3 linked regions of the Daphnia pulex genome follow. The protein of the gene in region 1 interacts with the protein of each later gene in a pairwise test. Links are inferred from orthologs where the notes say so. Each region holds a gene or a part of one and is shown on either strand. Other genes may lie near its edges. The genes, in order: dynamin-like, sorting nexin lst-4-like and E3 ubiquitin-protein ligase Su(dx)-like.

Evidence for each region.
Region 2: the proteins of dynamin-like (region 1) and sorting nexin lst-4-like interact in a two-hybrid assay, tested with the Caenorhabditis elegans proteins (2 studies listed by BioGRID). The link is inferred for Daphnia pulex from reciprocal best matches to the Caenorhabditis elegans genes dyn-1 and lst-4.
Region 3: the proteins of dynamin-like (region 1) and E3 ubiquitin-protein ligase Su(dx)-like interact in binary tests that used the Caenorhabditis elegans proteins (3 or more experiments, as listed by UniProt). The link is inferred for Daphnia pulex from reciprocal best matches to the Caenorhabditis elegans genes dyn-1 and wwp-1.

Annotation. Positions count from the first base shown.
Region 1 is NC_060023.1:11,179,522-11,184,764, forward strand, and holds the start of dynamin-like, read left to right. Parts: upstream 1-2,208; 5' UTR 2,209-2,504; coding exon 2,505-2,668; intron 2,669-2,734; coding exon 2,735-2,808; intron 2,809-2,876; coding exon 2,877-3,026; intron 3,027-4,454; coding exon 4,455-4,658; intron 4,659-4,858; coding exon of another isoform or gene 4,859-5,062; intron 5,063-5,243. Other genes in the region: tRNA (guanine-N(7)-)-methyltransferase-like, read left to right, coding at 73-149, 218-336, 401-554, 618-762, 843-944, 1,004-1,141.
Region 2 is NC_060028.1:5,995,155-6,000,397, forward strand, and holds sorting nexin lst-4-like, read right to left. Parts: upstream 3,725-5,243; 5' UTR 3,538-3,724; coding exon 3,526-3,537; intron 3,370-3,525; coding exon 3,208-3,369; intron 3,058-3,207; coding exon 2,950-3,057; intron 2,883-2,949; coding exon 2,522-2,882; intron 2,444-2,521; coding exon 2,291-2,443; intron 2,225-2,290; coding exon 1,990-2,224; intron 1,918-1,989; coding exon 1,774-1,917; intron 1,711-1,773; coding exon 1,515-1,710; intron 1,462-1,514; coding exon 1,255-1,461; intron 1,177-1,254; coding exon 1,129-1,176; 3' UTR 496-1,128; downstream 1-495. Other genes in the region: very-long-chain 3-oxoacyl-CoA reductase-B-like, read left to right, coding at 1-40, 122-268; protein AATF-like, read left to right, coding at 3,914-4,004, 4,067-4,878, 4,939-5,006, 5,076-5,243. UniProt on the Caenorhabditis elegans protein: Involved in the signaling of vulval development by acting as a negative regulator of epidermal growth factor receptor (EGFR) signaling. Aids in phagosomal membrane tubule formation which is required for phagosomal fusion with endosomes and lysosomes.
Region 3 is NC_060026.1:2,733,235-2,738,477, forward strand, and holds the start of E3 ubiquitin-protein ligase Su(dx)-like, read left to right. Parts: upstream 1-2,122; 5' UTR 2,123-2,474; intron 2,475-2,555; 5' UTR 2,556-2,661; coding exon 2,662-2,755; intron 2,756-2,819; coding exon 2,820-2,964; intron 2,965-3,025; coding exon 3,026-3,182; intron 3,183-3,253; coding exon 3,254-3,402; intron 3,403-3,481; coding exon 3,482-3,805; intron 3,806-3,872; coding exon 3,873-4,028; intron 4,029-4,091; coding exon 4,092-4,200; intron 4,201-4,276; coding exon 4,277-4,443; intron 4,444-4,523; coding exon 4,524-4,652; intron 4,653-4,783; coding exon 4,784-5,026; intron 5,027-5,135; coding exon 5,136-5,243. Other genes in the region: carcinine transporter-like, read left to right, coding at 1-71; alanyl-tRNA editing protein Aarsd1-B-like, read right to left, coding at 162-285, 361-452, 524-664, 738-804, 866-996, 1,068-1,184, 1,247-1,365, 1,443-1,695 and 2 more. UniProt on the Caenorhabditis elegans protein: E3 ubiquitin-protein ligase which accepts ubiquitin from an E2 ubiquitin-conjugating enzyme in the form of a thioester and then directly transfers the ubiquitin to targeted substrates. Ubiquitinates klf-1.

The sequences.
Region 1 (5,243 bases):
TCGTCTGCTCTTCTTCGAATACAATCCCGCCGTTTATGAGATTCCGGCACGTGGAACTCGAATACAGCAAAAATGGCTAGCTTACCACAGAAAAAATATTATCGACAAAGAGCACACTCCAATCCTATCGCAGATCACTGTTTTGACTAGTGAGTATCTTATTTCCAGTTTTCGATTTATCATTAAGTCATTTTCTAACCCAATTTGTCGTTTGAAGTCCTGTCTCTCCCAATGACATGAAATGGGATGAGCTCTATCCTACATTCAGCAAAGATGGAATAATGAAACACAAAGTTCAGTTTGCTGATATTGGATGTGGCTATGGCGGTTTATTGAGTATTTTTATCACATTTTGCCAATAAAATATGTGGAAAATTAATTTTGTATTTTTTTTTAACAGTATCATTATCCACCATGTTCCCAGAGACTTTAATGTTAGGAATGGAGATTCGTTTGAAAGTTTCAGAATATGTCCAGGATCGCATAAAGGCGTTGAGGATTTTGCATCCAGGTGATTACGGAAATGTTGCCTGCTTAAGAAGCAATGCCATGAAGTACTTACATTTATTTTGTTCATTTACTTGGGCATGTTTGCTTAATTTATTCTATGCTACTAGGTACCTCCCTTGCTTTTTCGATAAAGGACAATTGACAAAAATGTTTTTCCTCTTCCCTGATCCTCATTTTAAGAAGGCCAAACACAAGTGGCGTATTATCAATGACACTCTCTTGGCTGAATATGCCTATGTTTTGGCTGAAGGGGTAAGTAGGCAGGCCTAGAACGGCCCTTCTTTAGCTACTTGATGTAGATATCTTGTGTGATTAATTAAATTTTACTTTAGGGTTTGGTTTACACAATTACTGATGTTAAAGATCTTCATGAATGGATGGTTATGCATCTAGACCAACATCCATTATTTAAGAGACTAACCCAGGAAGAGCTGGTTAGTTATACTTTATAATTAAATAGCTATAAAACTACAAATTCTTTTTGCGGTATCAGGATCAAGACATTGTAGTTCCAAAACTGTACGAATCAACGGAGGAGGGCAAAAAAGTCACGCGAAATAGTGGTGATAAATTTCTTGCTGTATTCAGAAGAATTCCTGATCCATTCGTACTTGAAGAAAACAAGTGCTAATGTATACAAATTTGTTTGCCGGTTCCCTGCTCGTCACTTGTATTGCTCCCAATGGAACTGTTTGCTGGAATTCACATAATCAACCAGCTTTAAGCTGCCATTCAAAATAGGTGACCCACGTTTTATGTATGCATCGCCCATGCGCAGAACAGACAAATTTTCCAAGATCAATAGTTGTTGACAAAGAACTCATAAGGTATGTACGGTATTTTGTAACTGAAAAGGGAGCGCGCGCAAACGTGTCAAATGACGAATGGGCACTTTGAATTAAAGTTTCATGGAAATAAATTTAACATTCTCTTTTTTGGCAATCCATTTGTAGATCTGTTTGACTGAAGGGTCTTTTATGAATGATTTCCTGATTTGTAATGTTTCTAGTTTTCAAAGGGATTAACTTGTATCTTTTTGTGGAGCTTGAGTTCTTATTGATTCATTTGCTCATACGATCGATACGTTCAATAATCTGCTTCATAGAGAAAAAAAAAATCGTGTTAAGTTTCCGTCGTCTACGTATCGACCATGTGTCAGCTGACGATTTCATGGGAAGCAAAGGAACGTGGAAAAAAAACGTCACCATCCATCCTTTCAACTTATTGTTATTCGTGTTGAATACCATTTTGTAAAAATCTTAATCGAATTAGGCGCGTAGGAATTCTGCGACGCTGTGAAAATGGGATGGGTTGAAACTCGGGGAGCGTGGCATAAATGTAATTTCACTAAGCCGACTAAGTGACTAAGACGAGATTGCATCACTGATAGTGATGTTTATTGTTATAGGATGTGAAATCCTAGCAGGCGGTAGATGAAAGAATATATAAGGAAATAATATTCCGATGAAAATTTATGGTGCGCATCAGCGTGACCCATTTGTGCTGCGTAATATGATTTCCTGCAGTTTTATTTTGTTTGAAATATTTAAACACTTGACGGATGGGAAACACTTGAATATGTTCGGCTCCGGTCCGACGGCTTTTCGTCTTATAGAAATTTCTTCGATCCCCGAGTCAATATTGGGACACTTTCCGATGCGGTTGTGCAATCGGCCGCTGTGTGGCGTATCTCACAGTCTATGCAGCCATGTTGAGTTGGCCTGGCCATATTCGAGCCAGTTCGTGCTATGAGAGACGGTGCTGGTGCGCTCTCTCCAACCGCTGTCATTCTCTACCCAACGTCAAACACGGTTCCACCGACAGTATTGTGGCTGAAAAAAGATTAACCAACTCCCTGAAAGTCTTCTTGTGTTTTTTTGTGAATTTCGTTTCATTGTGCAATCCTCTCTGTGGTCCGCCATAGTGGGGAAGTTCCCGACTGGTCCGAGTTCTTTTTGTAACGTTAGGCTCGACCGTCGAAAACACCATCGAAAATGGCAGGCAATCAGGGAATGGAATCCCTTATTCCTCTCGTGAATAAATTGCAAGATGCCTTCACTTCGTTGGGGGTGCAAATGTCTCTTGACCTACCCCAAATTGCTGTTGTGGGTGGGCAAAGTGCAGGAAAAAGCTCTGTGCTGGAAAATTTTGTTGGCAGGTGGGATTAATTTCGAGAAACCTCCCCTTTGTTTTCTCATAACTCATTGTTTTTTCACTTGTGCAGGGATTTCCTACCTCGTGGCTCTGGCATTGTCACTCGACGTCCCCTTATCTTGCAGCTGATCAACTCTCCTCAGGGTAAGTAACTTGGCAAATGCAATACATGTTATATCTGTGAGTAATAATCAATATGTTTGAACTTTCAGAATATGGAGAGTTTTTGCACTGCAAAGGAAAGATCTTTGCTGACTTTGATGAGATTCGTAAGGAAATTGAGGCAGACACTGACCGATTAACTGGTACCAACAAAGGAATATCCAACTTGCCCATCAATTTGAGAGTATACTCTCCTCACGGTAAACCAATTTTACTTCACAAGTCCAACTTTACTTACAGAAAAGTTTAGAGTTTGATAATGGTTATTTATTTAAGAATTTAAAATGTCACACAATTGAACTAGACTTTGGGAGGGTTTAACGGCGTTATTAAAACACCATTACAAGTAATGGTGGTGGCCAAAACATGTCGCCAAGTTCTTTCCCTTGTCTAAATCTTCCGACCCATCACTACTCACACTGGAGTATACGTCCACATATAGAAAAGTGTGCAGTCCCGAGCATTGCTCGGGATGAACGGATCAATACCTCCTGCCCGCTGCGAGAGATTGGCACTATACAAAAAAGAGGAAAAATAAGGAACCCCCCTCGTTGGTCGACCACATTTCCATGATTCTTGCATCATCGATCATTCTCTCTTATGTAGCCAAAGAACCGCCTCATCACCCCCCGTCCGACTAGGCTCCCCACGACGACTTGATCGACAGACTAAATAGTTGAGAGAGTAATTAGATTGGGTACCACCTAGAGGGGAAGCCTCCCGTCGACTCAACACACTCGTATGAATGAATCCAGCCATTGCTCTGCCTATACGACAACCGGAGTAGCATTTGAAATAGCCATTAAAAATGTTAAACTTTAGTATTGTGGACTGGGGTTTATTTTTCCGGGAAAAAACCCAAATTCTGTATGTCTTCCGTCTCGAGGGTATACGCGGTTTTGTATGTATCGTGTATGTGCGCGCAAAAGAGGGGCCCTCTCAACTGTGGGAGGATCGAGGCTGGTCTGATCGATACGGCCGTTTGCCGTCTCCTAGGAAGAGAATGAGCAGGAAAAAAGGGAGAAATAACGTAAGAGTTTTTCTTTTCTCGTGCAGCACCACTCACAACAACAACAAAAAAAGAAGAAGAAAGATTACTCTTATTCAGATGCTGCTACACTCGCCCATCACACCGTAGTTTCGTTGTGGATTGGTCGCCATGTTGTGTCGATGCCTCTACAAGAAAAACTTTTCTCTTTTTTTTTCCCAAGGAATTCGCATAAGTTTTTCCCTTTTTTTTTGGCGCCATTGACAATCAATAGGAAAAGAAGCTGAGTCTTCTGGTCGATATTAACCTCAAGAGAGCAAAAGGGAACAGATGGGATGAAAGAAGGAAAAACAAATTGAGGATAAGACTCACACAAAAGTTTTTGCTCTTTTTCTCAATTCTTACCGAAAGATGTCTTATCTAGGCCGGTTATAGTGGAACGAATATTTGATCTGGTAAACTGACCTCTTGAGGCACGCACCGAGTCCGAGCGCTTCCCCCCCGCAATATAATGTAATAAAAGAATGCCATTGACCGGAATCTTCTTACGAGCCATTCGTGTTTTTTTTTTTTCGGAGGGCTTTTTCAATAATAAAATAACTCCCACAAACTCACGACTGTTGCGTGTGTGTGTATGTAGTGCTGAACATCACCCTGATCGACTTGCCCGGTCTGACCAAGATCGCTGTTGGCGATCAGCCTTTGGACATCGAGGCTCAAATCCGAGACATGATTTTTCAATTCATCACCAAGGAGACTTGCCTTATCCTGGCAGTCACTCCTGCCAACATTGATTTGGCTAATTCGGATGCCTTGAAATTGGCCAAGGAAGTGGATCCCGATGGTATTTCACATTGCGAAATTATCAGCACGAATACTTGGCAGCTTCTGTATTTATGAATGGGCCCCCCTCGTGTAAATAGGCTTGGCGTGTGTGGGTTCTTTTTTTAGTTAGTTATGTAATGAATGATGATCGCATGTCAAGAGTTTCTTTTTTATTATTTTTATTTTATTTTTTTACCGCTTTTTGTTTTCGTGTTGTAGTTCTTAATTTGACCCTGATTGATTTGCCTGGCTTGACGAAAATTGCCGTCGGTGACCAACCTATCGACATTGAGATGCAAATACGTAGCATGATCCTCACCTATATCACAAAATCTAGTTGCCTCATCCTGGCTGTTACCCCTGCCAACATTGATTTGGCCAATTCGGATGCTTTGAAACTGGCCAAAGAAGTAGATCCTGCAGGTATAATAAAAATAATAAATTGTAGTTTCTGCTCCTCTACCCTTTTTTAAAAAGGTCGCAGGCACGTGAGTTGCTTCCTGATTCGTGTTTTATTGCTTGTATATTTCCCTGTCTTGACATTCCAATTTCCTTTGACTTTTGACGTGAAAGAAAATCGTGCCAGGCAGTTTTATATATCTCA
Region 2 (5,243 bases), on another chromosome or scaffold:
TGAAGTATCTTCTCCCGGTTACTGGGTTCACAAGATTCAGGTATAACGTGTTTTTTCTTATCAGCTTTGATTTATTTTTATTGTGTATATCTAATCTTTTACTGGTTGGGAATTATTTTAGATCGGCTTTTACAACGTGGCACTGAGTTTCGTGCGACCGGTCGTTGAACGCGTCGCCTGGTACGGTCTCTTTTCCATCCGCACACGGGCTGTTAGGCGCCAGCAGCGACTCAAGATGGCGGAAGTCAAACCCCGAAAAGACGCTTAACGGGACTAATGTTGTTGGAGTCCAGCCGATCCAATAGATTTTCATTCCACACTTCATCGAATCCATCAAAAGGCAGTAGTAGCCTTAAGGCTCTTCACGCTTTCTTCTGCTCATTGTTGTGTAAATGACTATGACTGTATCAATTCTAGGCTCACATAATTGTTCTTCTTTTTCACCGGCTAATCATTAATAAAAATTCATACACAATATTCTGTCAGGTTATGATATTATCGATACAAATTTTATGTATTCCGTACCATTTGAAAAGTAAGGCTGGCTAAGCGCACCATCGATGGAGATGACAAACTTGAATGACAATTGAATAGGAAAATGTAAATGACATAGAAGCTCACTGTTATGGTTCTTGTGCTTCTCAACTTATTAACAGCACATAAACTTTTAAGACTCGCGAGCAATGTGCACGTTAAACCATTTTTCTCATCTACACAACTCTACCGTTTCTCTCTGAATAACGACAACTCTCGTGTAACGAAAACTCGGCAGTGAGCTGCACACAGAAACACAGTCTGACTATGACACTGTTTGCACTTGATAGCCTTCGTTCTTGCCAATTTGGAAGAATGGCTTCGTAAATCGGTTGCCCGCTCATGAAGATAGACAACGTAGCTACGTAGAAGAAAAAGCGAAACAACAAAGTAAGCAAAAAGAATTTTAACATGCGACTATTTTCAAACCATCTGAGGGAATGTTTCCCGTAAGAAAGAAAACAAAAGATAAAATCCGTGGCGGCCAGGATTCCAAAGTAATTAGGAGAAACTTCGTTCATTCGCATGAAGGAATGGAATTAAAAAAAAATAATGCGACTTTTAAAATCCGAGTACTGCGGTTGTTGTTTTTTCTTAGACATCCTTGTACTGGGATAAGGTGGACTGCAGATGATCGACAATCTAAATGAAATACATTTCAAACATCTGGTATTAGTAGAGAAGTTGCAAAAAGAAAAAAAAGGAAAAATAAATAATAACCTTTTGATAGTAAGTGATCTGTTCCTGTAGGAAGATTTTTGCGGCTGCATTAAAATCGTGAACACGTTGTTGATGGAAATAGGACATTTCAGCCAGTAGCGTGTAGGAAACAACATCTGTTCGTTGTTGAGCACGAACTACAACGGTGCTTTCCGTTTTACCCTCAGATGCGGAGCGTTCCAACTCGCGCCGCTTTTGAAGGGCCCCCTATAAATTAAAAATTAGTATTGTTTTAAAAATTGCCGAAATTGCTGGGTTACCTTGTGGACGGTAATGATGTCGGGAAATGAGGCAAGTAGTCCACGATAATCGTGTAGTAAATCTCCCATCGGCTCGAAATCCAATCGTGGTTGGTCCTCACAAAGAAGAGCTATCTGATCATACGTGTCAGCAGTATGGGAAAGTGCTCTGGTCAGAGGAGCTGTCTCTAGCAATTCCATAGCCGTGCCAAGAGTTCTACAGAGACAAACAGTTGGTTAACAACAATACAAGGGCGGAGCACTTCTCTTTGAAACCTACCTGAATGATTGGCCAACACGTTGATAGTCGCGTTTATATGGACCTTGCTGCCGTTTTACTTGTTCGGCAAAGTTGCTTTGCATCATGCGGACAGCTGTATCAAACGACTGCACGAAACGCCCAAAAGCTTCGGTCTGAGAGTCACTATGATCAAGAAAAATGTAAAAGCGATCAAATAAACAGTTGAAAAAAAAAAAAACAACAACAAAAACTTACAGTTGTAGTGGGTCAAGCGACTTTTCTGGTACTTGTACAACACCAAAGATTGCGGCGCCAATTACTTCGTCTTTTTCAGCTTTCCGCTTGCCCGTTTTCCATCGTTTGGCATCTGTGCACGTTAAAAAGTGCAACCAGACATCGGAGCGTGAGAGAATTGGGTGGTCACACACACGGCTAACAAATGATTGCAACTGTAGACGTCTTCGCTCGATAAATTGTTCTTCATACCGACCTATTTTAAGTACACAAGTTCAGCAAATCGACTTCAACCAAAAATTCTACAAATATAAGAAATCACCAGAAATTTGCTTGTCTGGAAGGGGAGGAATGGGAATGATGCAAAATTTTTCCACAAGTCTTTCGTGAAGCCAATCGAAATGTTTGTATCGCCTAGAAACCTGGATATTGTTTAACGACGGTGTCAACTGGTAGGCAATGAAACTTTTTAGGCCTACGATGAAAACATAGAAACAAGTTGACACATTAAATTATATTTAAAAATTAGTCGACTAGGTTGTAAAAATATTACCTTTCAATTTTGATTCTTTCTTTGGTGAAGCCACTACACACGAGTAAGGTTGAGGATTCGGAGCCCATGTGATACCGTTGTTGGTTTCGATGATGTGGATTTGGTCACTATCAGTGGACGTCACTTTGTTTGCCCCCAGAATGTAAGCTTCTCCGCCAGTTTTAACGAAGTGAGAAAACCGGTTCAAATTTTTACGAACGGTTCCTTTACCGTCTCCCAATTTCAACCCTGCCATGTTGACATCAAGCGCACTACCAACGTCGCTATTGCTTCTCCCACCTGCAGCAGGGTTTCCCGGATTGCTACCTTGGTTGGCTTCAGAAACGTCATCATCCCAGTCGTCATCCCAATCATCGTCGTACTGGAAGTAGATTGAAAATACCTTATTAATACAGTTACCAGGAATCTCCACAATGTTTTTGGAATACCTGTGATTGTTGCTGTTGAATCGCTGGAGCTACATTTTCCTCTACGTATATCTGGGGCAATGGAGGAGGAGGCATAGCAGGAGGTGCATTGTAATTTTGTTCAATAGCCTGTTGAATTAATACAATAAAATGGTTTTTTGAGGTTTAAAATAATTCAATTTACATGTTATTAATACAGAAAAATCCAAATGATACAAAATTCTTTTCTGGTTTTACACTAGCATGCATGACATAACAGGAGTAGGAAGAAATTCATACCTCAACGTAGGCTGCAGGAAATATTCCACTAACTCCACGTTGATTACTACCTTCCCACCATCCTTCACCAACATCCTTACTAGTGACAGTTAGAACTTCACCAGTAACAATAGATAGTTCAGATGTGCCAGGCTGGCCTTCAAAATCATAAAGGACGCGCGCCTAGAAAAACGATTCATTTTGTAAATTAAACTGGTTTCGAAACCGGATATGGTTAATGAAATGGTAACAGCAGTTACAGGAGTGAGAAAATTTATAGTTCTAACTAGAAGACGAAACTGATAATTAGAAAAACCGGAATCAAAACTCAAAAGTTACCTGACCAGCCATCTCGAAGAATAAAAACTCAGCTTTTTACAATACCCCTGCTGCTGTGTGCTGTCAAACTGATTTCGTCTCGCCCCCTAATAACAGCTGAGAGGAATGAGTCAGTGATGAGCAGAGCTGAATCTGAAACCAAACGATAAGTTACAAAATCTGAGACCCGAGTGACATTTTAAGGCCCTAATGTTTCTTCTGTCTAGTAAGTAATGCCATCTACTGTAGAAAGATATTAACTGCATTGGTTTGAAAGAAAAACAAAAGAAGTACGATTGTTCGAATTCGTCTGCAACGTGTATTGGTAGTAAAACACGCGACACGCGGTATCAATTATTTTAGAATACTGAAACTTAAATGTATACATTGTGAAACATTTATTTATGAAATGTCGAAAGGCAAATCCCTAAGTGAAAGATTAGCCGAACTTGCCAATCCAACACCTCAGTTTGCTGATCCAGAAGATGAATATAACGAAGGTAACAAATTGAAACAAAATAACACCTACTTGTTTTTCTTAAAGTGTTTCTAATCTTTCTAGAAAGTAAAGCAAGGCTGGAGTCCTTTGATGACCAATATGAGTCGTATGATAACACTCAGGTGGTTAAGAATAAAGCACCAAAAAATAAATCTAATCTACGCCAAAAGAATGTGGAATTATTAGCTGTTTCAGATAGCCGATATGCTGGGAAGCGTGTCAGTCGCAAAGATCTAAATTCTCCTGTAGGAGAAGGCTACAAAAGTTCTGAGTCATCTTTAGAATCTGATAATGAAAGTGGGGAAGAAAATATTCTGGAATTTAAGAACAAATTCATGAAAGAAACAAACAACAAATCAGAGAAACCCAACATCTTCCAGGAATCAGAAGACGAAAGTGGTTCATTGAAATCTGATATTCATGAAGAAGATAGTAATGAAAGTGAATTGAATAAATCTGAAGATGACGAAGAAGCTGATTTTGAAGAAGGAGAGGGTGAAGAGGAGGGTGAAGAGGAGGGTGAAGAGGAGGGTGAAGAGGAGGGAGAAGAGGAGGAAGAAGAGGAAGGAGACATTGGAAGTGTAGATGACAGTGAAGGAGAAGAAAATGAAAAAGTTAAAAAAATGTCAAAAAATTCTCATGATAATGATATAAACAAGGGAAAATCTATCCAAAATCAACTCTCATTATGGGATCATCTTCTTGAGTGTCGTATAAAGATGCATAAAGGAATAAATTTATGTAATCAGTTACCTCAAGCTCCTTCAAATTACAAGCTTTTTACTAAAGCAAGTGGAGAAAACCATTTTGTTGCAGCAGGTCAAGGTGCTCAGGCAGCTATTAAATCATTATTGGACAACTGCCTTGAGCTAGAGGTAATTCCTGTTTTATTGTATTTTAAATTACTTAAAATAATAAAAAAATTAAAAATTCAGGAGCTTCTTCTTAAATCTAATCCACAAACAAAAGCATTAACGCAACGAAAGTCTAACGAAGAGGGCAGGTATTAAATGTTAATTTTTCAGTTTAAAAGGCATTAATTAAAATTTAAAAGTGTTTCCTTGTCAAATAGTGATGAAGAAATTCCAAGTGACACTGACGAAGAAGCTGGAGAAGACGACGAGGACATTGATGATGGAGGACCAAAGCGCAAAAAACAAAAAATAGTCGGATATGAATCCGAGATTGGAGAAAGACACGAAAAATTGCGCGGTTTTTGGCATCGTACACTGAACATGTG
Region 3 (5,243 bases), on another chromosome or scaffold:
TCCACCGAATGAGCTCGCTAGAGCTACCAGTCGACAAATCCGGATTAGTTAAATTACATTATTGGTATTAACTCGTTTCGTCTGTATTCACATCACTCTTATTGCCAGGCTTTGAAAGGTTCAAGTACAAAATTGAGTTAATTGCACCGATGTCTTGTTTCTCACTGGAAGTAATCACGAAGGATCGTTTCCGCCTCTTGCCGTGCTGATGGATTGAGTTGCGTAACCTTGGCTTGAAATCTTTTACCCTTGCCGGCGCCTTTTCCGGCTAAACAACTGCAAATTCTAAAACCAAATATTTGCGAGTTAGTTTTAAAAAGTTTGTTCCGATAAGGAGATCTCTGTCGCAATGGAACGTACTTTGGACCAAGAGAGCTGACCACATCCTCTTGACCAATAAGAGTCATTTGCCCGTTGTTATCTTCTCCCACAGTAATAAGTAATGTGATGTCCTAAAGAGAGAATATTAAAAAGAAAATTTTAATGTTAAATAAGGACAATTAAAAACTAATAATCTAGATACCTCAGAAGCCAGTTCTGAAATTAGAGCACTTGCATAATCGGCATCGCCGTCTTTGCGGTGAACAATCGAAAATTTCGGTTTCTCGGTTTTAATTTTCTCTGCCTGATTGACAGCTAATTCTTTCATCAAAGTTTGCAAAGTCTTAAAAGAAAAGAAAATTTTTAAATTAATCTACAGTCGATTAGGATACGGAGAAGTTCAAAAGTTGTTTTACCTTTTGTGATAACTTTACTGAGGCTTGTAATTTATTAGCTAAATCGACATGATCTTCAGGTCCGTTTCTGAAACGAGCAAATGAGTTAATCACTTGTCATTTCAACAATTATTTTAAGCATTTCATACTTCAGAATTTTAGTCAACTGGCGCTCCCTGTCAAGTGAACGATTGATGTAATCTAGCACTCGATTTCCACTTATAAAGAAGAGGTTGGTCTTATTTTTTTTACCCTTTTCAGCATAAAGCAGCTTTATGAACTAAATGAAGTATTTTAATCGATGGTTAATTATTGCTTGTACTATTGGGGGTAGTAAACTGCGTACAATACCTGTAAATGACTAAGGTTGGAAACGTGAGTTCCACAACACATGTTGCTGTCTACACCTAAAATAGTTACGACGCGAACAGGACCAACGTGGTCATCGGGAAGACCTCTAGAACGGACCTACGAACCCAATATGGTTTTCTTTAATTTAACTTTAATGTCAATTAAAGTAAAATTCTTACTTGGTCGGGTATCGCATCTCCTTCGTATACTTTTACTTCCACAGAGACAGCTTCCCTGATTTTCTCATTCACTTGGCTTTCAATGGTTTTTAGTTGGGCATCAGTCAGATTTACAGTATCTTGTAATTTAATATTAAGTGTCAATCAATGATGCTACAGAAAATTCTGAACACAAAGTTAAGAAGGAAAAATTTACCTAATTCAATATGGGAAACAGATTCCCCAAGCCACCAAGATGTTGTTTTGAAACCAAATGAAGCATCAGCAATTGCAGTGATTAGATGCTGCCCAGAGTGTTGCTGCATATGATCCCACCTTCTCTCCCAATCAATGACACCTGTAGCTAGAGTCCCAACATCCAGGCTGTCTTGTAAAAAATGGATGGCATCCTTCCCTCTTCTTTTGACTTGAAAGACAGGGATTCCGTTCAAGAAGCCTCTGTCATCAGGCTTTTGACATTTGAATTTTTAAAACCAATTCTATATGAGGATGTGTAATTTAACGTAAAAATTACCTGGCCTCCACCTTCAGGAAAAAAAACGGTATCTTCCAATAAGACTTCAAATGCTTGTACTTTCTCCTTTTTCCCCTGGACGAGCCTCTCGATCTGACACGGCGAACAAGAGACGACTTTGCTCGTAAACTACGAAACACCATACTGATCATTAATAGGATAAGAAAATACAAATACCAAAAAGGAAAATTTATTGAACCTCTTTCTTGTACGGTGATTTTTGACATTCAAAGACCATCGTAGACTTTTGGCAAATTTTGCACTGTTGTTATTTTTTTTTTCTTTCTAGCAGACAAAAATACAATCCATCTGTTGGCAATATTTACAACTTTGAAGAAAACACTAAGAGAAGAAATTGGCAACAGTGTTTTAAGCCAAGAAAAAATGGTGACTTATTGCAAAGACTTGTAGTCTTGTACTTGTGTTTTGTGTGTTTGCTATAATTGCAGCTATAATTTTATCTCGTTCAACGGGAAATACCACCAGAGTTTCTAATCTTTATACTGCCTGCTTGTATTTCGGTTTATTGACATTTTAAAGAGATAATTTTACTTTCGCGCTAATACTCAACTGAGCCCTGTAGGTGTATTTTTTTGCTGTTTTCACTTCACAGTGACATTTTTCTAAAGTCCTAAAGCCTGGTTGTTATAAAGATTATAAATTAATTTCAACACCGAAACATCATTCATGTTCCATGTAGCAGTGTGGATGCAGGTTAGTGGTTTGCATAGCAAAATCTTTATCAGTGATGACGTCAAAAATCAGTACTCATCTTATCTCTTAAATTTTTTACAGGTTCCTGTTCTGATTATGGGCTTTGATAGTATTGAAAACACCAGATCAGTTTAGTATCTGGTGTAGTTCTGAACTACAGCAACGTCCAAGGTCTGACCTCCATGAAATGGCTGAAACTGTTGCAGCTGTTGTAACCAGTTCCAATAGCGCAAGCTCTAGGAACAACAATGACTCCCACTTTCATCAACTAAATCTCTCAGGTTCAATGCAATTGATATTTAATCTTTACATTGGAAAAGTTCTAATCTGATTTATGCAATATAGTTCTAAAGGCCACTGTTGACCCAGTTTGCATAACAAAAAAGCCTTCACCATATGTTGAAATCTTGGTTGATGGGAAAGTGGTTTGGAAAACTGAGGCTGTGAAGAACACACATGATCCCACTTGGTCTTGTGAATCCTTTACTGTGTATGTACAGTTGCTATGATTCAGCACATTTGCAAGTGTCTTATCTTATTTATTTTTCTAGTCTTGTGAAAATCAATTCAAAATGTCTACTGAGGCTCTACAGTCATTCAACTTTCAAGCGAGATTTGGTTCTAGGAGAAGGCAGAATAGATATCCAAAAACAACTAGTACGAGAACAAGGGAAATTTGATAAAACCAGTCTTGTTCTGGATGTTAAGGTAAGCCTCATACTTGATTACTAGAAAAACACAAAACAAACAAAATTATTCAATATTTCTGGCATCAATAGGGAGAAATAAAGAATACTAGCATTGCATCAACGACAGAAGCAGCTAACGGTCGCAGCTCTAAAGTGAAGATTGGAGAAATTTTTATTGTGATGGACGGAATGAGGGTAGATCCAAAATTGTTGACAGGCAGTAGTCGAAGCGCAACGAGGTAATAATGTGCAGCGTTCAAATGGAAGCGAGCGATTCATCATTATAAATCTGTGTGCTCCCATTTTTTTAATCATCAGAGTGAACGGAGAAACAGGTGAATCCAGCTCAACCGCTGAGATCCGGACGAACGGTGCAGCAGTAGCTCCTGTCACGAATTTGACCACGGGCGAAAATGGTGGCGGAGCTCGTCCTCGTACCCGATCGAATGATGTTGAAGCCGCCCCCATTCCAGCAGTAGTAACTGGTGTTCCATCCAGGACACCCAACGGAACACCGCAGCAGACGCCGTCCAGGACTCCCAACGGGACAGTGGCAGCACCGGCTCCGAGGACTGAAACTACCCCAGCCACGACAGCACCTCCGGCTGCTCCACCTGGCCCCGAAGAACCTCTTCCGCCAGGGTGAGTTGATGCTGTTGTTGTATCACATCCATTTGAAATGTAACTGACGTTATTTTGTCTTCATTAGATGGGAAGTCCGTTTCGATAAATACAACCGGCGCTACTACGTCGATCATAACACGCGGAGTACGACGTGGGAGCGCCCGCAGCCTCTTCCGGCCGGATGGGAGATGAGAAGAGACCCTCGTGGTCGAGCCTACTACGTGGATCACAACACTCGATCGTAAGTTTATTTAATGGTTTCAACTTTTTCAATTAAATTAATTCGTATTTGTAAATTAACCAGGACGACATGGCAAAGACCGAATGTTGAACGTCTGCAACATTACGAACAGTGGCAAGGCCAGCGAGCGCATGTTGTTCAACAGTGCAGCCAGAGATTCCTATTTCCACAGGTAGTTGATTCATTGATCATTGAGCTAATCGTGACGTCACTTGCATTGATGTTGTTGTTGTTTTTTTCCTAACTAGGGTGGAGGAGTCAGCACCGGAACGGCGGTGGTGACGGGTACGGAAGAGAGCGATCCGCTTGGACCTTTGCCAGAAGGCTGGGAGAAACGTGTCGAGCCTAATGGCAGGGTCTACTTTGTCAACCACAAGAATCGCACCACACAGTGGGAGGATCCGAGAACCCAGGGGTGTGTCTCTCACTTGTCAATTCATCGAAATCCCTCAATCAATCTATATCTCATTTCTTTCTTTCTCTGATTCATTTCAGGATGAACCAAGAAGATCCTTTGCCTCCCGGCTGGGAAATGCGAATCACGGACGATGGTGTTCATTATTTTGTGGATCACAATACCCGGACGACCACCTTCCAAGATCCTAGACCAGGCGCAACTAAAGGGTATGATTATGTTGTCCATCATTACTGCCACAACGTGTTCTATCCAGCTCGCCCGCTACTTGAAAGTGCTTTTATTGCTTTGTGTGTGTTAATTGCTTGTGTTTTTTTTTTCCTCATTGCGCTGGACGCAGTCCGAAAGGTGCCTATGGCGTTCCCATCGCTTACGAGCGCTCATTCCGCTGGAAGCTATCTCAATTCCGCTATCTGTGTCAGAGTAATGCCTTACCATCACACATCAAGATCACTCTCAACCGGTCGACGCTCTTTGAAGATTCGCACCATCAGATTATGCGCTTGCCCGCCTACGAGCTCCGCAGGCGGCTGTACGTCATTTTCCGCGGCGAGGAGGGCCTTGATTACGGAGGAGTGGCTAGGTAAAATTATTATTAATTAAATACCCCCTTTGCGTCCCTTGAAGTGTGCGCTAATTGGACACTGAAGAGGAAACTGATTTTTCTATTCATTTTTTTTTTGTTTTGACAGGGAATGGTTTCTCTTGCTGTCACACGAAGTGCTAAATCCCATGTACTGCCTCTTTGAATACGCCAACAAGAATAACTACAGCCTTCAGATCAATCCGGCGTCCCACGT